Linked DNA regions of Oreochromis niloticus. The protein of the gene in region 2 purifies or fractionates together with the protein of the main gene of each other region. This does not show direct contact. Links are inferred from orthologs where the notes say so. Each region holds a gene or a part of one and is shown on either strand. Other genes may lie near its edges.

Region 1 (11,744 bases), on a different chromosome or scaffold from region 2:
CCAAAAACTCTTCTGCCTGACAAAAATGACTTTAAAAACGGAGACATCTTGCCTTAGTTTCACTCCAACCTTTGTCGTAAGTTCTCACTTTGGTATTTTTTCTTAGTACCAAGAGGACTCTCCGTCCATAAAATGCTAGAGCAAAGTATTTGCTACGCTATAGACGATCTTTGACTCGGTTATGCTGCAGTGACGGAACTGCGCATGTGTGTGAGTGCAAGTGTAAACAATATACACCCACTTAACCATCCTGCCAAAAAGCAGCTGTCCGTGTAAATCACTGACATCCGTATATTGAAAACTATAGATCAAACTGTTTTTAGGAAACCAGCAACATTTTAACATGTATGTTTTCTCTCGTAGTTCATATACAATTTATTACTGTATAGTCCCATCGTCTTCTTTCCCCTCTCCCTCTAATTTGACCTGCAGGAATAGTGCAATAATGCTCTCAATTAAAGTATAGTTATATCAGGTTCCATCAGTGTGCAGTGATGACTAAGAACGTTATTGTCAACTTTCAATATTTAACTGAAAAACAAAAATCATACTGACACAAGAAATAAGATGTAAATTGCTTTAATAAAACTCAATGAAACGCAGTGTAACAAAGGAAAAGAAACAAACAAAGCAAGTAGATAACATTTACAACCACAAAAGAAAAAAAAACCCTGTACAACTCTAAATGGTTGGAGTCACTTCTATATTTCCAAAGATTTTTTTTTTTTTTATTTCATCATTTTGTTATGACTGAAGGTAAATTTGGGGGTTTGGGGCGAGAAGGGCAAAGGAGGCAAGTAATGTGATTTTCTCTCTCTTTTTCTTTTTTTCTTTTTTCCAAATACACAAGTGTAATCTTATACACAGATGTATGTTTCATCAGCATGGCTGCTGGTAGCATTTTCTGAATGCGCTGCTGCGGCACACAGCAGGAGATGCATGAGATGGGCCGTGGCCAGGAGTGCTATTTGTACAAGATGTCGTAATGGCCAGGTCTATAGAGGAGGAAGATGCGGGGGTCTCCGCCTTCGGGAAAGACGTGGTGATTGACTGTTCCTCCCTCTCCTCTATCCATGTACTCCACCAGAATGGATACGTCCAAGGCCTGAGCTAAGGCGATGATGTGAATGTGGTCACTTTCTTTAGACATTGGCTCTACCTCCTTGGAAAAAGAGAAAGAAAAAAAAAAGCACATTAGGTTTGAGTTTCAGACAATAAAACATCTTCATTATACCAGAATGGCAAACACTGTACTCTTTACACAACGTCGGTCATAACAATTCAACAGTTATGTACATTATATTTAAATTTAAAAACAGGAAAATGGTTATCTATGTAGGGAAAACCTTCACCTGCTGGCAGAACTCCTTGACAGTGCGCCCACCCTCTATGAAATGCTGAAAGAAGGTATGCTCTCGCTGCAAGTAGCCTGAGGTGAGCAACCGCAGGTACACCACCACATAGTCTGATACGTTCTGGTCGTTGAAGGAGCTCAGCACCTCCTGCAGCCTCGGCTGTTTCTCACACAGTTCAATCAAGTCCATGAACTAGCAGGAAAAACAATATTTACATATTTAGACTCATGTACTCGGGCTTCAGCTTGCCAACTTTCTATTTAACTGGCCAAAACAAATTTGGCTGCATGTTCCATTTCACTGAACACATCATGTGCTCTGGCAGATGACCATCTAAAATTGGCTAGTCAGTAAGGATCGTCATCTGCACCTTATCCAACATAACAAATGATATGCTGTCAGTCAGGTTGAGGGTTTTACACCTCTTTTTTTAAGCTTTTTTACAGTAACAATGCAAAAAAGCAGAAAATAAAACAAATGTATCTAACTAGATGACATGCATTTGCTATTACAGCAACTTCAGCAAAATAGTCATTTAGGTTTGCCAGAATACTCACAGTATTGTGAAAATCTTCAATAGTAAACTCAGTGAAACCTTCGTTAACCAGATCCAGTTTACTTTTAGCTGCAACTGCTTTGAACCTGAAGAGACAAAATGTGTATTTAAAGGTAAACATTGTAAATATTAAAGCCACCTATGTGCTTATCTGAATTTTAAAATATTGAAAACAGAACACAGTGTACTGCTCACACACATTCACACATTGAGTATAGACACCAACAGCCAGCAGAGCACACACAGTAACCACTCTGGCACTCACTTCTGAAGTTCTTTGCTGTCATCTAGCAGGGACTCGAGATGTGCAAAGCCAAAGGCTCTGTAGAAACAGTTTCCATCTGGTCGCGTCTTGCGAATGTACGAGTATTTTTTGTGCAGGTCCTGTAATAACAATAATTTTAAAAAATCTTTAAGATCAGATCCAAAACTGTTATTGCAAATTTAAACAGAGAAACTTTGGATTGACACGTGGCTGCAGTAACCTGAGAGGTGCTGCGCTCTGACTGACCTTGATCTTGAGCTGATAAACCGTGTCATCCTCAGCGTACTCGCTCTGCAGCACCGACAGGTCCTGTCTGTCTGACACTAAAGGGTTACTGGTGGCTATCTGCACAACCACACACACAAAACTGCAAATTAGTCACTGCAATCCATCTCCATACTTGTTTTTAGACTTTTTATTACACAGTACATCTGTGATTATGCATTAGTAACATTTCTTTTATTATAAGCTCACAGCTGTGCACATAAACCCTGTTACAGGTAAAGGTCAATGTAATTACTGCAAAGATAGATTCTCAAAGACATGCATCTCATTTGTTTTCAGTGTGCAAATTATGCTTTTATAGCCCTGTCCACATGTGATCTGAGATTTCTGAAGTTGCTCATCCGGATCCCCAGAATAACGCCAAGCTATCTTTATTTCTTTTTGCTGCCCAAACTAAACTTGACCTTTAAGATAAAAAGAGCTTCCTTACCTCCTGCTGAATCCGGTCCTGTTGAGCAATTATGGCCTCATCATATGCTAGGCAGTTCACTCCTGTAAGACAAGGGTGACAAATTCAAGAGGCTTCAGGAGTAGAGTAGTACTTAAATGACATACTGGCTGAAACAGAGGATAGTGAAGCTGTGGCATTGGGATTTTAACTGCACATCAGATTAGAAGCACTATTTGAAATCGCAGTGTTCCAGTGATGCAAAGTGTGTACTTTAGATTTACATTACCATAAATATAGTAGCATTTATGGTACTATAAACTGACAACAGCACTGTAACAGTTCTGAAACTGAGACCAAAACTGCACTACAAACATCTGCAGTATCAAAGCAGAACTCCATCTTCCCAAACTGTATGGAGGTGCTAATGTTTCGTTAAAGGATGCTAGTCTGAGGAAAACTGCTTAGGTTAACTTTTTTAGTAGAGTGCGATCCTAATGTGATCTACTGCACAGATGTGTGGTTTGAAAAAAATGAAAAAATAGAAAAACATTATGAACTGAAAGCTAAAACACAGTTTCAGCTTTTAGTGTTTCAGACAGTTAGGATACAAGCATTTGCTACTAGGGAAACAACTGTTGCACCAATTCAATATTTGGATTGGATATCGATCCGATACCAACTGTGAAAACTGGACCAGCTATCAGTGATAACGAGCCAGCCCATTCGATTCATTTCTGTGTTGCTCTGTGTTTACTTTGCCACGTGTATCCTAGGGCTGTTTTCTTTTATTTCACTAATAAATATCAACATTTGTATAGAATTATATTTATTTGTTCCTTTTCAGTTTTCAAAGTTAGGAAAATGTTTTAAGTTAAGTCTCGTATTTCCTGACACATATAAGAATACTTTCTAGTCTCTTGCTCACAGCGTTATAGATTATTAATTTAAAACCAGTATCTTATCTCTAGTCAGTATTAGCAGACACCCAAGCTGTATTGGATGGGAATCAGAACAAGCTGATTTGGCCCATCTCTGACTGCATTCACTTTTACATTTGGTGCGTTTACGCAGGTGTGACCTAGTGACACTGGCAGTGTACCTGCATTGCACCTGCAATGCTGTGTGACAATGTAATACCCAAACAAGCCAGGAATTAAAACTGAACTAACTCGATATTACTTGGTTTTACTAGGAAATTAAAAAGTGCCTAGCTTGTATTTAACAATCACAATTAAATGCGACTGCATTATCTTGGCTGTAAAAATAAATAAATAAACTCGATCACCCGTAATACATTGTAGGTTAAGATGCCAGTTTCTTAATAAAAGTAACGGCGCCAGGTGCTGCATGTCGTTTTGGTTTAAATGTCCTTTTTCACAAAGCCCTTTTAACGCGGTGTTTTCCTTCTCAGTGGCGAAACCACTGAATTCGTTTTAATGCCAGACAGCTGCATGTAAACAAAATGTAATAAAATGTGGAATAAATCAATTGACAAAGACACACTCCCCCCTTCCGTTTTCATCACCTGCTGACACCAATAAGCAAACAAGAGCGCATTTAGCCCTTGGTCAGCATTTAACATCAAAACAAGTTAACCTACAAGCTAACGTCAGTCAGCTAAACTTGGCTAGCGCGACTTGTGCGAAAACAAAACAAATTCTAGCCACGACGCAGTTTTATAAACTAAAAACACGACGCCTTTTCTTTAATAATAAGTACACATTTTAAGCATTTCCAAAAGTCAAAACCTCTGGGACTGTCACTCACTGCTGCCTTGACATTAACTAAACAAGCTTTTTTTTTCTTTGTGTAGCATTGGCAGCTAGCTAACGTTAGCCCAGAAGCTCTGGCCTCTGTGTGCCCCTCACCGCTGCACATCAGCCAGATTCAGCACGGAGGAGGCAACGGCTGAAACGCTTTACAGATGTTCGTGTGGATAAGAGTTTCGTTTAGAAGAGAAATGGCAGCGCACTTTGCTTGATATTTGTTGGTGTAACTGTTTCTCTCACCCTCCATCTCTCCCTGTGATGACTCTTGCTGCTCCTCCGCCATCTTAGCTGTCGAGATCGGTTTCCTCCCTCCGCATGACATCACTCGTCGCACACTTCCGAGCGCAGACCACCGGTAAACTTACTTTATTTACTTATTTATTTATTTATTTATTCATTCATTCATTCATTCATTTATTTAGTTTGTGGTCAACCTTTTCGCATGAATAATGACTTTGTTAACAAAGCTAAAGCGTCATACGAGGCTTCCAGTACATTCCATTGGCTGATGTTTTACCAGAAAATAATGCATTTATTTACATAATTACAGTATTATGTCATATTTAATATACATTTATTTCTTTATTATATCATAACTTTAACTAAGATTAATTGATAAAGAAATAAATATTTGGTAGTGTTGTCAAAGGGTTCGTGTTGTTGCTGGGATATAAAAAGCCCTCCTCAGCATTATAACAGGTTGCTTTTCTGAGGGTCAAACAGGATTATGAGGCAGGTGAAGTGTGCAGTCCTTCCACAAAACCATGGACCCTCACAGAACTGCACAGTCACTGGTTTGGGGTAATTTGTTTAATTGCAAACATGGTAAAAGTTATGCACTAATTAAGCAAATCCCTGCTTAAGTTAGTTCTAATTGGCTGGCTTTTATTTATCAAGTTAGTGGCTATTCTTCAATAACTGTGATGAAGGTAAAAATCCAACAAACAATTAGTTTTGTACATTCAGCCCACTGTGATTTTGAGTTGGCTGGACCGGATGAAGGCCCTTTCCTGTCAGTATAAAGGTGTTCAACTGCACATTTGAGCTTAGTATTAGAAAAAGCAGAGCAATTTCAACAACATATCTAAATATAAATATCATATAAATGTAAGAAATCTCTTACATCTCTCTTTGGGCATACATTTTAAGAAATAAATGTGTAAAATTACATTTCTAAAAAATCTGGTCACTCATTCCCCAGACTGTCCTGTTATTACAAAACAAAGTTTTTCTTAATTCACAGGAAACATCCTGTTTTTTTAATGTATTTATTTATCGTTTTTGTTTTGTTATTATGGATGTAAAAAAGAGAAATTTTGATAGTATCAGAATCAGTAGTTAAAAAAATAACAGAAAGGGTCCTGTCATCTAATTGTTTATCTATTAGTTTGATGCATGAATTTCCATAAGGGAGGGGAAAACATTAAGATGCATCAAAAAATTAAAGTCCAAAATTTATGCCCTCCATTATATTTATCATAGCTGTCCAGTGGTCCGAACTGGAGTCTTTACCAGACCAATTTATGTTTGACACCCTTGCCCTGCAGTACTCTTAAGAAAACCCTGACAATCAAACAAGCGCATATGAGTAAGCACTCTGTGACAGTGGGGAGGAAAAACATCCTTTAAACAGGAACAAAGTAGGGCAGAACCGGCCTTGGGGAAGGCTGCCACTCCTCCTGCTGTGCCTGTGGTTTGAGGACTCTGACAGTTAGCATGACTCAAGGGGTGCTGATTCATTTAAACATATTCATCCTGTTGCAACCAAGATGACTACATTAACTCTGATGAAGCAATGGGATATATGGATGATGCACAGTGATAGAAACCATTGGATAGGAACTAAAAAGTATAGCAAATTATTCAGTGGCCAATACGTTTCTTTAAGGTTTAGTTTGCTATGATGACTACAACACAAGAGCAAAAACTGAAAAGAAATTCTCACAGTATGACATAACCTGTGGATGAATGTAGTGTACAGTAGTGCGAAGGCTGTCGGTATCCCAACATCCACAATTTGAGCACCGCAGCCGTCACTGAGGAGCAATGAAGGTTTCTTCAAGTGACAAAACCCATTTGATGTGATGATGAAGCTCCTATTACAAGGAAGGCCTCTGGAAAAGGAGACCAAAAGTTCCAGGAGCTGCAGTGAAAAGGTTAATTAGCCTCCTAACTCTGCAATTAACAGTACCTCGGATTGGATGCCACTTTAGTGTTTACCACAAGTCAAGTGAAAGACATGTCCTAACATCAGCTGTTACAGACGAGGCTTTTATTCTTTAAACACTGCAAAGAAACCACTACTGAGTGAGAGCACTGAGACTGAAGAGGCAAGAATTGGCGTTATACATTTGTGATTTCAGCTATGAGGGCAGATGGGTTTAAATACCTGTGATAAACCAACAGCATCAGACAGTGCACATAGGCAGAAAAAAAAAAGTGAAGGTCTACAAGATGGTAGTGAGACCTGCTGTGATGTATGGTTTGGAGATGAAGTCAGAAGGTGGAGGTTGCAAAGATGTTCTTTGGGAGCAAGACCAAAGAGGAGGATTATGGATGAAGTAAAGGAGGACATGCAGATGGTTGGTAGAGACAGACTGGAGCAGCTGAAAGAAGAAGAAGACTACAAAATGTAATAGTTTCAGTGCATTCGGTTTTTTCTACAATATAAAAAATAGTTTAAAAAATGAATGTACAGGGGTAACTAAAGTGCTGTACACCTGCACCTTTAGAAAAACCACATACATTTATTTCAACCCATCAGTACTAGCTGATAACCATCCAGAGCTCTCTGCAAATAACTAGAAATCCAGGCAAATGTCCAAGAAGATCATCTGGATCACAATGGAAGGCAGTTTTTCATAGTTGGTTAGTTCTGCAGTTTGTTGCCTCAGTCAGGCCCCTGCACTTTCCAGCAGTATACACCAGGGGGCGCTGTCTGCAAATGCAACCTGCATTCAGACATTATGGCTTCTCATTTGTTAGGTGCTGCCGGATAATAGTCACACATCACTTTGAGTTTGCCACAAACTGTCCCAGCACACTTTTTACACAACTAAAGCAACATCAGACAAGTGTATCGGAAAAAAGTCGTATTTACAGCAGATAACATAACAAAAAGGAAACAATACAATTGTACAATACAATGTATGTAACAAACAATATAATACTTCATATTTGCCAGAATAGCAAACCTGTTATTTTTTTTCATGTTTCCCCTTTGGCACATTTTTCCCAATACTCATAACAGATATTAAAAAAAAAAAGTACACAGATAAAAAATACATGTTTGGCTTTTATGCTGCAATCAAAGGCTGTAACATGTCCCTGTTAAACTCCTTTTGGAAAGACACGGTCCTCTTTTGGAGGAAACGTTCCAAACTGTACAGAAATTCCATGTGTGGCGACCTTTTTTATTCATTTCTACGATCTGCTTCGTGAGAATCCAGGCATACTTACAGAATCTGATCAATTCTAACTATGTTTTCCAAATGTTTGGCAGCTTTTCCAGATTCCATTGATGTTGACATTCATACTGTGTGTGTAAACATCGACAGATCAAACATAAATGCACTCTAATGTATTAAGTGTGCATGTTTCATATATGCTTTGTCATCTCTAGTCTTATATATGTGTACATCAATATGCTTGTAGCACACATGTACTACGTGTATGTGGAAGAATCTGAGTGAGGAGGCCACTGAGGCAGAGGGATGTATGACCTGACAGCACATTTTATTTGTTGTTGTTACCATGCTGTGTCTTTGTTACTTCAGATTTAAGTATTACAGCTCTATTTCAAAGGTGTTTGTGGGGTTTTTTTGTTTGGTTTTTTTGTTCTTTGTTTTTTTTTAAGAAAAGGGAGCTCACTCGTGTATTTGTACAGATTTACAGATCACTACATGTAAGGGACATTAATCTTGTTTTGGCATTAAGGTTTCATCTGATCCAAACTGTCTCAGTGCCTACGGCGGCAGGACAGTAAGACAATATGAAGGTATGCGGGTTGAAGGTGTGGCCAGAGATGAACAAGCCAAAAAAATCTGGATCAGGTCCCAACCAATGTTGTGTAAGAGAATGTGACACAGGCAGTTACTCTTACACTCACCACAACCAAATCAGAAGTCCACCCTCAACACCGAGCTGTTGCAATCTCCTTTTTAGATTTGCCGACTTTCCCACAGCCTTGTTTACTCCTCCTGTATTTCCTGGTTTTTCCCACAGCAAGTGCTTTCAATATCCCCTCATAAGCTCTGGCAGCTGGATTCACCTGTCAGCTGCAGCTGGTTAGAGCAACAGCTGTATTGTGAAAGCTCAGAAAGGAATATCGTCGGTGATGATGCTGAAGTAGCTGCACTGGAAAATGTGTGATATTGTCTTTAGTTTCCAGTAGCTCTGCAAACATCTGGGGAATACGCCACTGATCCCCCAAACAGCAGGCAGCAATAAGAAATGCCCTAAAGATGCTTTGGAGTCAACCGCATCCACAAAAGCGGTGCAGTTCTGTAATTTCACGTGTTATTTTCTCACCAGCTGTTAAACTATTTGGGCCTTGTGGATTATAGAGGTGTGGGGATTGACCGGATGGGGGCTTGGGATCCTTTTGTATTTTAACAGGCCATTACTAAGCTGGCAGGGCAGACTGTGACCCTCAGACACCTGAGAGCTGTTCGTCTCGCTGTCTTGATCAAAAGGTTGCTCCTGACTGGCAGGACCGCCCAGCCCTTCATCCACTTCATCATCGTCGTCCCTTATGGGTGGGCAGGTGCTGCTCACGGGAGGGTGTTGGTGATTCTTGGTGATGCTTCCCAGTCGCAACCCCACATCCGGTGGGACAATGGGGCTGCCGTTCATCGACCTCAGAAAGTCGGGCGTTTGCATCCTCTGAGGCAATTGCGTGAGAGGAGGGTGGTAGTGAGTTTCTGGCTACAAGGACACAGAGCAGACACAGATTTTGATTGCATCATCATCAGGTTAACTATGCAGTGGTTAGTAATATGGAGCCGAGGCATTCCACAGTTTGGCGAACTCAAGCCTTGACACGCACACTAAGACACACTTACCAAAGATAAAGAGCTGTTTTTCACATATCTCTCCACTCTGAGTCGGCTTTCCTCGTCTCTGTCCAGAGGCCTTTCTCTCCCCCTCCGGGAGTTGTTGTATATGGCTGGTCTGCCCAGAGAGTCATACGCAATTCCTCCTCCCCGACTGCCTGAGATAGTAGATCGGCTATCACGGCACTGAGGCTGCTCCTGTTTATGGCATGGAAACGAAACACTAGTAACTATTACTAGACACACTGATGAAGTGCATAGATTGTAACAATTCTATGCTCAAAACAACAGAATTGCTACAAACATTCTCCCCAAATTCACGTAAAAAACACATTATTTAAAGCATTATAGTTACATTATTTACTTACATGTATATTTTAAAAAGTAGTTTTAAAACAATAGTTTAGCATTAACTGGGGAAAAATAAATTAACTTTTAATGAAAAATAGTCTGTTATTTATTTGCATTTAATTAGTCACAGTTTTCAAGAAATTCGAAGGAAAGTATTGGATAATATATTAGATAAAATAAGAGATTTAATTTTGGGCCCCAAACTTCACTCCAGGTCCTGATTGAATCAGGCCTGACATACAATTAGGCAATAAAAGCTTTACAAAGTAGCTTTTTGGGCCTAAATGTTTTTTCAGTGTATTGAAAATGACTAAGATGTGGCTGTAAAAGACAAAAAATTGGGAATAGCCACATGCAAAATGTTACTTTTCTCAGTAAGCTGCATTTGATGACACTAAAGATGAAATTAAATGGGTTTTTTTTGTTGTTTTGGGAAATATGCTACAGCGTATTCTTCCTGAAACATAGCAGCGTGCCACTCCCATGTCTTCATGCTAATTACAGGAGCTACAACCAGCAGTAATTTAGCTCAGGAAACAGAGCATTATTAAACCAGTCTGATCTCACTAAAATGTGAAAGGTAACTACTGACTCTTAACACCACATTACATAGTGACACATGTCTGAGCTAAACATTGTCATTTTAACTCTCTTTAAAAGAATCAGCCACTATTTTTGCCCTTCTGATACGGTTGTAAAGGCCAAATCATGGTCTTATTATCAGCCTAGAAAACCAACAGAGTCCAGGGGACAAGTATAAAGACATGAACCCAAATTTCTTGGGTGAAAGTCTGCATTCTTCTCCCCTCAATTTTGTTTGCTTTATACCTTATCTAAGGGAGGGAATTCATCTGTCCACAGTAACAAAGTTTCTAACCTTCCAAATTGCACTGTGCTACATTATGTTTCACCAGTTAGAGTCGCTGGCTTGCAGTTGTAGTTGGTTATACTTTAAAACAGACCAAGCATTGCTGTTTGCAACTTGCTCGCAGTGTTTACGCTTCACTAAGCTAACATGTATCTGGCTCCAGCTCTATATTTAACACATGTGAGAGTGGTGTCAGTCTTCTGGCCTAATTCTCAGCATGAACTTTAGGGCCCATAGAGAGGAACAGAGATGTTAAAAGAGAAGAAAAAAAAAGCTGTGATGCACTACATGCAGATTCGAAATGTTGAAACTCAGAACTTAGCCATCTGGCATCTGGCTAGTAAAGCCTCAGTCCCAGGCCCTGGCCCTGCATGCAGATTTATATAGATACGCAGACTGACCCCAAGGGAAGACAGGCTGTTCCTCAGTGTTCCCTCCACCCTCAGAGGGATGTTTTCCTCTGTCTGCAATCAAAAGAAACACAACAAAATTCCAAATCATGAAAAAAATCTGTACATTCAAACCTTACCATACTATGCTTTCATTATTTTAAAACTGATGGTATTATTGATAGAAGATATGAATATTTGGCTGTTGCGACTAACAGACACCGGTAGTTATATTGAAGTGTTTGGAGTTATTGATAGTGAAATCTGAACGTTGGAAAAAGGTTTGTGTGACACACGTGGTCCACTGATTTGGATCAGTGCTGAGCAGTGTGTGAGAGAATAATCATGCAAACGTACCGCTCTCCTGTCTGTACTCGAGGAGTTCATTCTCCTGATAGAGGCTTGTCTGGAGAGAGTGCTTATTTCCTCCCTGTGAGGAAAAAAAGACAGAAAAATTAATT
Region 2 (11,132 bases):
TAGATGACACATTGCATTAGTAACTGCAGTGGCATTTGGGGCATTGACCACATTAGTTACTGCCATACAGGTTGGTAGGGAGGAGGGTGTTCTTCATGTTAGTTACTGCAGCATGGAGCCTTGGCTGGCTGGGCAGCTTCTGTCAGGTCCACTCCCCGGCTGCGCCCAGTGTTTGCTCCTGCAGGCTGAGGCTCATTTTTTGGCAATCTCTTTGCTGGAAGAAATCAAAAACAAAAAAACAAACATATAATAAAACAATTTTCAGGAAAGAGAAGCTACAAATGATTAAAAAAAAAAAAAATACATTAACAAAAAAAAACAAAAAAACATCAATCATACTAGTTTGACCTTGTCCTCCAGTTAATTTTTAACTCGTATTTAAAGCAGGAACTGAAACCCTTTAGGAATTTGTGATTGTCCAAGCCTAACAGCGGCGTCGTAAACCTTGTGTGTTTTTCAGTAGAAGAAAACTGGAGCTACAGTAGAAAGCTCAGGCAAGCAGAAAACATGCAAATTCCACACAGAAGGAGCCCTAAACTGGGCTTGAAGCCATGACCTTCTTGCTATGAGGCAACAGTTCTAACTCTGAATAACAGAAATGTGCAGAAAAACAAATATCTACAAATTGAATCCTAAAAGTTACCCACCAATGGCCATAAATATCTCATTCACATTCATAGACGTTTTGGCCGATGTCTCCATGAAAAGTAAGCTGTTGTCATCTGCGTAGGACTGGGCGTCCTGTTGACACAATGTAAACAATTTTCAAAACATTCTCCAACACACATTTCTTCAGGCATAGGAGAAACACAATTAGAGGATAATTAAAAATGGAAGTCGTGGCTCTAGAATGCAGCGTCCGCTTCGAATGTGATCATTCAGCCATCCACCTATTTTCCTCCCCTCATCCAACTCCACTTTGCGGTAGGGCTGGAGACGGGTCGCCAGCCTGTCGCAGGGCTAACAGAGAGGTACAGACAGCCATTCACACTCATATTCACACCCATGAGCGATTTAGAATCACCAATTAAATAACTGTACTAACTACATGTGCTTGGACTGTGGGAGGAGGCTGGAGTACCCGGAGATAAACCACGCAGACACAGGAAGAACATACAAACTCCACACAGAAAGGTCACAGAGATATTAGATTAAAAATAAATTAATTAATAAATAAAAATTGTAAAATAATCAAAGCCTAAGACACAGTCTAAGGTTTGTCTAGACTGACCTGGAAGTCCACAGCTCTTTTGTTGGCCAGATCAGCTTTGTTTCCTGACAGAGCGATGACTATATTAGGGCTAGCTTGTCGTTGTAGCTCCTTCACCCAGTTCTTGGCCCGTGCAAAGGACTCCTGAAAAACAAATGAAGACACGGTACCACTTGTCAACATCTAATGCTACTTTCATGTTTTAACTTGCTCTACAAGTGCTCTGGAAGGCCTGGGTCTTAGTCAAGGATGAACGTGCCTCGTTTGTGATGTCGTAGACCACAATGGCAGCTTGTGCTCCTCTGTAATACATTGGTGCCAAACTGTGGTAACGCTCCTGGCCTGCAGTGTCCCAGATTTCAAATTTCACTGTTGTGTCATCAAGACACACTGTTTGGGTTAGGAAAGCCGCTGTGGAGACAGGAAGAGATGAGTCATTTTATGCGTGATCATTAACGACACCAAAACTATATCTTTACGAGGTCATATAAACAACAGAGCTGTGAATGTGTCAACACAAAAGCATCAGTCTTCTAAATTCTGAATGGGGACTTCTCAGGAAAACAAACAAACAAAACAAAAAAAACAGAACTGTCAGGTTGTCAGAAACATCCTGATTTGATGACATGACCTTACCTCCTATTGTGCTTTCCTGGAATTCATGGAACTGGCCCTTGACGAAGCGAAGCACTAAGCTGGACTTCCCCACAGCCGATTCCCCCAACAGCACCAGCTTAAACTGACAGATCTTATTCCCTGCATTTGGTCCATTGGGTCTCGTAGCTCCTCCTCGATTGGCCATGACCTAGTCAGATCCCAGGTATCCTGTGTGCTGAACCTCACTGTCGGGACTTCTGCTGCAGGAAGCACGAAAACAAACATGTTCACAGAGTAAAAAAAGATATTAAACTCTAAGAGATTTGTAATTTCAAACAAATGTAACAAAACCTCTGCTAATATGCTTTTCCCTTCCAATGCAGTTTAACAAGTCATAACAAGAATGGAACAGTTACTTTTGTATAGATGACAGTCGGACATTTAAGACAAATGAGCATTACTCATATATTGAAATCATGCAACAAATGTATAATTATAAGATCAGCTTCCTCTGAAAATCATTATTAAAATTACAACTCTTATGAAAACTAGAATCAGACTAATGAATAGGCTACTAGAAAAAAGTAACTAAATTTGGTAATCTTTTGACATTTTGACTGGGATATAAAGGCCAATGAAAGTTCATCAGAGCAGACTACATAGAAAAAACTGATAGATCTCTCACTCATACTTTCATACATCAAAGTCAAGCATTCACCCACTGGTATCACTTCAATTTGTTATGAATTAAGAAGGATTTCCCACACAGAGTGTTTCAAAGAAACAGGTGGTTTTCACACTGCAGTTTAGGCAACATGAAGATATTTATGTGATCAATAAATTCAAATATATTCCAATATAATTCATACACAGTGCATAGAAAATGATAGCCTGTATCAATTAGCTATCTTTTTTATCTGCAAATTATGGCTGTAAATGTAATTTTATAAGGCTAATAAATGAATTATTCTGTGAACATTTCAAGTCAGTAAAAATAACTTGCAAGCATTTCAAACATACAAAGGCCTGTTCTGAATGCATGTGCGACTTTCGACAGGCCAAATTTAGGACACTTCTTCATGAATGTAACTTACAGTAACACCAGGAAAAGGAAGCCTTGTCATGAACTACAACAGTGATTCGTGGCAAACTCAAAAGAGAGCCGGGGAAAGACCCACCCAGATTACTCAAGTGTGGTACAACTGCGAGAACCATTGCATGCATGCATGCATACCATGTGTGCATGCAGTGCTTACTAACTTATTTGGGAATGAACAGCTCAGAATTTCTAAAAAAACACAGACGGCTGTTGTAAGGACATAATCACGGCTTATGTCTGACCTTACAGGGTGAATTTAGTGGAATCTTGTGCCTGACCAAAAACTGGCCTTTCGCCTCGCATCAAACTCACATATATGGTGCAGTGCAATAAAGCACAAAGCAACCTTTGTTAACCACACAAGTCACACTCTGTTGAGGAGAGGCATTAATCTGTGGTGGCTGTAGGCTCAATGGCAGTTTATGAAGATGTTGTACTGAATTATATTATACTGTAAGGTAGCTGTACATAATAGCATACGACACATTTCAGTGGCTGTGGCTTGAAAGGTTGTGGGATAGATTCCCCGGATACTCCAGTATTCATGCTGAAGTATCCTTGGGGAAAGCACTGAACCCTGAGTTGCCTGCAATGCCTCCATTGTGAATTAGAGTGTGTGCAAATGATAGAAAAGGTGCTTAGGTAAAGAAAAAAAGCACTTGTATGCATTTATGTGTGATTGGATGAACGAGTAGTAGTAGCTGAGACTGCTCCAAGTAGAAAAGTGCTACTTAATTATATAAGTTAAGAGTTAACACGTGCTTATAATGTTCTTATAAACTGCAAGATAACTGAGAGGATAAAGCTATAAATGTACTCTGAACAAAATTGCAAAAACAGGCAAGTCAGTCTATAAAGTAACCATATTTTTGCCTCCAAATCCCTGACATCATCATCCTAACTTCTTCTTTCAGTGTCCCCTTCTTGCCTAAAAACTACAGTCAGCTAGGACTTTGCGGTTATTGCCCCTAGGCTCATGGGGACTGGTTCAACAACTGATCATTTTAGATGAGCTCTAATGACATATCTGTTTTAGCTGCTTTTAGTCTAGCCTCAGGTCCCCCAGGGTTTGGTCAAACACACTGTAAATGTTTTCTACTACTGTTTTACTTGACTGTTTAGCATTGGTAGAACATAGTTGTTTTCTGATTTCTTTTCTTAAATATTATATTTTATTATGTTCCCTGTTTATGCAAGCTCCATGTTTGTAATTGTTCTTGAGACTTGGATTACAAAATGAGTGTGCCTGTACAGCACTTGTGGACAACTCCAGTCATTTCAAAATGAGCTCTATAAATAACATTTACTTTTTTTTTCACACACATTATGAACCTGTGCGTCACTAACCCACATCTGTGGCAAACCGTTCTTACTTGTGTCGCAACACTAAAGTCTGAAGGCATTCATATAAGGTAAAGATTTCCTTTACCTTAGCCACCAGATTTCTGGGTGTATTTCAAATAAAGAGCTTTGGGGAAACGAGTCAATAAATTGACCGGCGAGGTCATGCCAAAACATTTCAACCTTATCTCAATCGACTCATCCTTGAGACGAAGTCTTGAAGACGCGCAGCAAGAAAACAAACATGCTCCAGGAACTGGAATGAGAACAGTGACCGTATTTACCCACACTCATGACACGGACTGTCAGCAAACGCTGCGCATTGCATGACTGCGACGCGCATATTTGGCTTTAACCCTCGTTAGTTGACTATGAACACACTTGCTCGGTGTTAGCAGTGGCTATCGGTCTGTTTTGATGTTAGAGGGGGCCGCCATTTTCCCCAAAGTGTTTTTGTTCTCTAGCTTGTTAGCAAAGCTTAGCATTCCTAGCTGTCTGGTGTCATTAGTCTCCGAACTGCTGTAAGGACATAAAAACAACACGACAGCTATCTGCACAAAACTAACGCCATAGTTTTTTTTTTCTTTCGAATTGAAACCCTGATTGCCTGTGCCGTTTAGCTAATGTTGATTCAAGGGGAATAGCTGAGCCCCTCAATTAACAAACACTAACGTTAGCTTGCTGTCACTGTTAGCATTAGACCCACTGAACCCAGTCCACCTATTAGCAAAGTCACTGTAAGCCTGCCATGCTACCTGCTATACCAGACATTATTAGCCATTTGCTACTGGTATACAAGAGAACAAGCGGACTCGACAGGACAAAGGCCCGCATTTCTGCATCCCCTGTGCCACCAAACACCATCGACATCAGCTGCACTTAGCTAGCGACACAGCTAACTAACGAAGTCACCGATGACAACTAAACAAACGGCGGCGTCATGTCACCGAGCCAGCTGCAAACCACAACTCGTCGATTCGTGACAAGTACTTTACCTGAGAGCCAGGCGATGTACAACTTTAAATAGCACCGCTGCAGTTCGCACACAGAACCTGGGACAGTGTGATGAGCTGGTGTCAGGGGAGGGGGGACCGAGAAAATAATTTCAACAATCCTGTCACGTCTCCTCCTTTCTTTCTTCTCGCAACTTCCCCTTAGAACCAAAACACAAACAAGCTCTTCCGCTCCCCGTGCCACGTCACACGACACGCCCGCTAACAGGCAGATGGTGTATATAAAGTTTGACTATGATCTGCCCTCCAGGATCAGATCTCGGTATCTGTTTTTAATGAGATACAAATAAAATCAGACATTAATAATAATAAAAATTACAAATAATATTTTCATGTGTATTTGATCAAATTACCCAGTAATTTAACAAAAGGGAATCAGGCACAGCTGATATTTAGATAGACTCGGTACAATATAGATACCTTTTTCTATAGGAATCTTGGGTTAAAGGTGACCTTGTCACGAGGACAAAGGCATTTTAATAGTCACATAGATTGTTGTTCCTTTAATTTGAAATTAATATTTACAGACAAGTATTGTTATACCCTTTTGAAAAGAAGCATGTAATCTATTTTAAACCCACTGGATCTTCTTGGCGTTTCTTCTTCTTTCATCTGCTCCCTTCAGTAGATCATCTGCCTCCATCTCACCCTACTTCTAGCATCCTCATCTGTCACAAAAGCCCTCTGTATTCACTCCTTCACTGCATCCACAAATCTCCTCTGAGGTCTTCCTCTTCTCCTCCCTCCCGGTAGGTCCACCTTCAACATCCTTTGTTCAGTATAACCACTAACCCTCATATTCAAAGTTTTTGTTTTCTTTCTCATGTATCACAGGGTTATCGTTATTCCCCAAGTTGCAAACCAGTGATAAAGATCTAAAAACAAGATACGAAGAAAGAGGAAACACTTTTTCCTGTCCACTCTTAGATAAAGATGAGATTAAATGAACGAGACGTGTCGAGAAAATATATTTATATAAAATATATTTAATAAAAATGTATTAAAATAAAAAACCTAGTGCCGAGATAGCCTGGAACTGTAGTACACAACATACCGAGAGGTGGCGGTATAGAGAAAATCTCGGAGTTTATCTTTGGCGTAGAAGAAGAAGCCCCACCCTCTCTTCCGGATAAGGCCATATCAGCACGTTTTATTTATTGTTCACTGTATTTGTGTGCTTTTATCTTGTGCTAACGATGAGCTACATTTTATAACAAGTCATTAATAACACATATGGTAGTCAGGTTCATGTACCTCTTAAGCACTGTCGGTGGTTGAGCTTAACAGCAGCATCCAGTCATGGAGGAGGTGGAGACACCAGAGGAGCTCCTGGCAAAGCAGCACCGCAAAGAGAAGAAGGATCTGCAGGGTAGCTACTTTTAACTGTGCTCTTTTGTTTGGTGGGCTAACATTTCAGCCCTTGCTGGTAGCTAGTTAGCGTACCCTATGTTGTTTATGTGTCGGAGTGTTTAGTCTCACTTTATCCGCTATTAAGTGACCAGCAAGTAAATAAATAATGGTCACCGCAGACGTTTCTGTGGTTACTATTGTGAGGCAACTGCCAGCCTTATCGCGTAGTTTGTTTTGCTTTTAGAGTAATAAACCTATAATACACAGATCACTGTTGGGAGAAACTTTTAGGGATTTGATGACTTTAGCCCAGGGGTTGTCCAACATAAGGCACGAGGGCCAGATTCGGTCTGACAAAGACACCAATCCGGACCCACTGGACGGCTTTGGAAAATGTGAACTGTATTTTAATAAGCTTTATAGTTTTTCCGAATGAAAAAGATCTTCACCATGGCATTTCATACTACACCCGAGTAATTAGGTAATAGATAAGTAATTAAACAACATAAAAGAAATAAAAAGAGAATTTTGTCAATTAACAAAGCTTTCTGTTTTATAATTACAGTACAGTCTTGCAAGTCAGCCACCAGAAATGCTTCTGTAATTTTACACCTTTGTTTCTTAGGGTTTAAACCCAAAGAGTCATTCTGACAGATTTCTTTCATTTGCTACTGCAGTATTTCTTGTAGAAAAACTGAGATATTTTTTGAAATCGCACTTCTTTATCTTATTTTTAGATATCTCAAGGATTAAATTTGTGGTTTAACTGCTTTACTGTGCTTTACACTGGCTGAAAGAAGGTGTTTCACTGGTCTGGCTCACTTACTATGAAAGTTGGCTTTATGTAGCTCATGATGTAAAATGAGTAGCTGCTTTAGCTGACCACTGATATCAAAACATTTCTTTCACATGCCACATGTGGCAAAATAATTAATAATGTCTGATAATGTAAAATCAGTTGTTTGTGCAGTTTGTGTAGACAGGTGCAGAAATATTTTAATCTTTTTTTTAGGTGCATTAGTGCTATCTATGACATGTATCCTTCACTATGTTGGCGGTTTTGTGCATGTATAACTTTTCTAACCAGTATGCAGCATCATCTGTATTGTTGTGTTGTTCTGTTTTGTTTGATGGTCTGCTTTGCATCATTTTCAGCTAAAATCCAGGGCATGAAAAATGCAGTCCCCAAAAATGACAAGAAAAGGAGGAAACAGCTGACAGAGGAGATCTCCAAACTTGAGGCTGACCTCAATCAGAAACACGAGGAGGAATTCAGGCAGCTCAAAGCAACAACTGACACAAAGGTGACTTATTATGTTTAGATGGTCGACAAATCGGGTAGAGTTTGATTAGTAATTAATGTAGAAGCTCTCTTTCATAATGGGGTAACAACTGTGAGACGGAAAGGGAAAGAACAGTTGTTAAAAGGTTTTTGTATGTGTTCAGTATACATTCAGTATGTAAATGAGTCTAGTCTTTGTGCTGTATCAGCTGCAGTTTACAACATAACCATTTCTCTCTTTACTCAATATTAGAAGGTGGAAGAGGTCATAAATGGAGTGGAGAATGTAAAGGTGGAAGATGGAGAACAAGAGGAGGCGAAACAGCCGCGAGTAACCAAAGCCCAGAAGAGAAGGGTGAGGTGCAGTTTTAAAGACTTGTGTGTTGTGAAACTTTTATGCATTTACATTTAAGGTTCTCATGAAGAAGAACACTTAGAACTCATAGTCAGTCTTCCTTGTTTACCACAGTTCACATTCATGATGTCTCCGCTTTAGAGAGGTCTCTGATGATCAGTTCTGCCTGCTAGATATAAGTTGGAGTCTAATAAATCACCCGCATTTACCTGCTTTTGACTTTTAAATGATTTTGTATAGGACAAAAAGGCTGCACAGGAGAAGGAGAGGGAGATCAGGATAGCAGAGGCTGAGGTGCAGAACCTGCAGGGTGTGAGGCACCAGGAGGGTTTAAAGCTGGCCCAAAAACTCGCCCAGCAAAAGCTTCAGATCAAGGAGATCTCCTCTGATGGCCACTGCATGTACCGTGCCATTGAAGATCAGCTGACACGGCGATCAAAGGTACATGTTGTTATAGAGGCATCTTCCACAGCATGACTTTTGTCCTGTCTTCCTTCTCTCACCCAACTGGTCATGGCAGATGGCCGCCCTTCCTGAGCCCTGACCCTCAAAAGCCTGGAGGTTTCTTCCTGTTAAAATTGAGTTTTTCCTTCCCACTGTCGCCAAAGTGCTTGCTCATAGGGAGTCATATGATTGTTGGGTTCTTCTCTGTATGTATTATTGTAGGGTCCACCTTATAATATCAATTGCCTTAAGGCGACCGTTGTTGTGATTTGGTCCTGTATAAATAAAATTTAATTGAATTGACTAATAACTGTAGCTGTAGTTTAAATACTGAATCAGGAATTACATAAGAAATCGAGCATTGCTGACAATCTTTGACACCTTCTGTGTTTGGAGTCTCTACAGCTTGTCATACAGAAAATGACTCAATGAGAAACTGTCGAGTTTAGACGCACAGAACACATTTTCTAGTGCATTCTGTTCTGTTTTAGCTCCAATTACCCACAAGTGTGAAGGAACTTCGATCCCGCACTGCCGAGCACATGAGAGGCCATCCTGACGACTTCCTGCCTTTCCTCACCAACCCAAGCACAGGTGACATGTACACAACAGGTGAGACCATCTTTGTTTTTGGTAATGAAAGTCAAACTTCCACTGCTATATTTCTTAATATTCAATTGACATGTTTGTCTTTTGCTTCCAGACGAGTTTGAGAAATACTGCAGTGATGTGGAGCACACATCAGCTTGGGGTGGACAACTGGAAGTGAGTTCCTCCTTAACTGTCATATACTGTACTGTACATAGTGAAGTATTTTGTTGTAGTCTTCAATTCATTTTAATAATTTTTTTTTTTAATTTTTCAAATTTTGCAGCTTCGAGCTTTGACGCAAGTTCTTCATTTGCCGATCGAGGTGATCCAGGCGGACTCTCCTACCATAAAAATTGGGGAGGAATATGACGGTGAACCCATCACAGTTGTGTAAGAATGTTTCCAAATATGTTTTTTGCTCAGAGTACAACACTATCAGTAAAAATGTGCAAATTAATGTAGTTGTAGTAAACATTTTAAATTCACAATCACAAATTTACAAACACACTATTGACTACTGCCAGTCTAAATCCAATCTGTAACCTTTCCTCTGTCTCTTTGCTTGTAGCTATATGCGGCATGCTTATGGTCTAGGAGAGCACTACAATTCTGTGGAGCAGCTAAAGGACCCAGTCAACGCTGAGGACAGCTGAGAGAGAGTTAACATAAGCCTGTTGGCGTAATGCAGAGAGTGTTCAAACTTCTAACACGAAGCACCCTAAAATATGACATATTTGAAGGGAGACCCATGGTCAAGCGAGACATTGCTGAGCTCAACAGAGAATGCTTCTGTTTTCACATCAGTTAAATGTCTGTGTTGAAGTCAGATGAGGAGAGTGAAACCTAAATGAATACATAACTTTTAAAACAATAACGTTGTGTTAATGATGATAATAATAAAAAAACACAATTGAACAGAAGTTGATGTGTGAAAAGATTTTACATGGGTCACCCCTGGCTAATCGTAATGATTATAGGGTTACCTTTTAGCTCATTTTTAGAGGCATCGCTGAATTGCATCTTTTTTTTAAGAAAAAAAATACAATTCCAGTCATGCAGTTGAGGATTCAGTAGCTGCTTATAGTGTGTAACTACCAACCAAATGTGGACAACGAGTGGTTGTTTTCAGTGTTGTTTGGCTGAAATGAGCTGTTAAACGTGTAAATCATACCAAGTTACATAAATGCATACAATACCATGAGTGTGTGTGTGTCACAGCTTTATTTTGAATGTTTCTAATGAGCATCTTTTTATATCTTATAGGCACCAAAATGTATATACCATGCATTAAAAATGAAAAACCCTCACTGTCGTGGGTGTGTCATGGTAAAACTGGCCATTATAATCAATCCACTCACATTTAACACTAGAATTACTGAGCTTTTTTTTTCCTGGTGCAAGTCCCTACTACTAGATTTACTAGCCCTGCGCAAATTTGCGTAAATTCCCCTGAACCTAACACCTCCTAGCACCCCGTTGAGAGGCCTTCAGCTCCATTGTTCTCCTGCTTTTGTTGTGCAAACATACCTTCCCCCAACCCCCAACCAGGAGAGATTCAGGAGACAGGAGAGAACAAGGAGAAGGTCTTTCCTTCCAATCGTTGTCAGACTCAACAACAAAGTACCTGCAGCCTACAATACACCATGCTAGTTTTTATGTGCAGTATTTCTCATATGCAATATTAGTTCTTGTCAATCCTTGTCACTACATTGCATGCCTGTCCATAAACATATATACACAGAGTTGTACATATATTTATATATCCACACCTTACATAATATACATAAAGTCTAGTTATACATACATATATACATATATATATATATATATATATATATACACACACCAAT

Evidence for each region.
Region 1: the proteins of otud6b (region 2) and ubiquitin thioesterase OTUB1 fractionate together in Homo sapiens (co-fractionation; 4 studies listed by BioGRID and IntAct, with this or other methods). This does not show direct contact. The link is inferred for Oreochromis niloticus from reciprocal best matches to the Homo sapiens genes OTUD6B and OTUB1.

What each region holds. Positions count from the first base shown.
Region 1 is NC_031967.2:5,951,883-5,963,626, forward strand, and holds ubiquitin thioesterase OTUB1, read right to left. Parts: upstream 5,091-11,744; 5' UTR 4,944-5,090; coding exon 4,862-4,943; intron 2,954-4,861; coding exon 2,892-2,953; intron 2,522-2,891; coding exon 2,423-2,521; intron 2,296-2,422; coding exon 2,177-2,295; intron 1,998-2,176; coding exon 1,913-1,997; intron 1,548-1,912; coding exon 1,353-1,547; intron 1,163-1,352; coding exon 965-1,162; 3' UTR 564-964; downstream 1-563. Other genes in the region: citrate synthase-lysine N-methyltransferase CSKMT, mitochondrial, read right to left, coding at 1-47; nectin4a (nectin-4), read right to left, coding at 9,158-9,547, 9,685-9,873, 11,296-11,358, 11,641-11,713. UniProt on the Homo sapiens protein: Hydrolase that can specifically remove 'Lys-48'-linked conjugated ubiquitin from proteins and plays an important regulatory role at the level of protein turnover by preventing degradation.
Region 2 is NC_031985.2:21,836,174-21,847,305, reverse strand, and holds otud6b (deubiquitinase OTUD6B), read left to right. Parts: upstream 1-6,345; 5' UTR 6,346-6,559; coding exon 6,560-6,629; intron 6,630-7,765; coding exon 7,766-7,914; intron 7,915-8,145; coding exon 8,146-8,247; intron 8,248-8,487; coding exon 8,488-8,688; intron 8,689-9,182; coding exon 9,183-9,303; intron 9,304-9,394; coding exon 9,395-9,456; intron 9,457-9,565; coding exon 9,566-9,672; intron 9,673-9,850; coding exon 9,851-9,935; 3' UTR 9,936-10,483; downstream 10,484-11,132. Other genes in the region: ras-related protein Rab-5A, read right to left, coding at 99-214, 648-741, 1,232-1,354, 1,470-1,621, 1,847-2,012.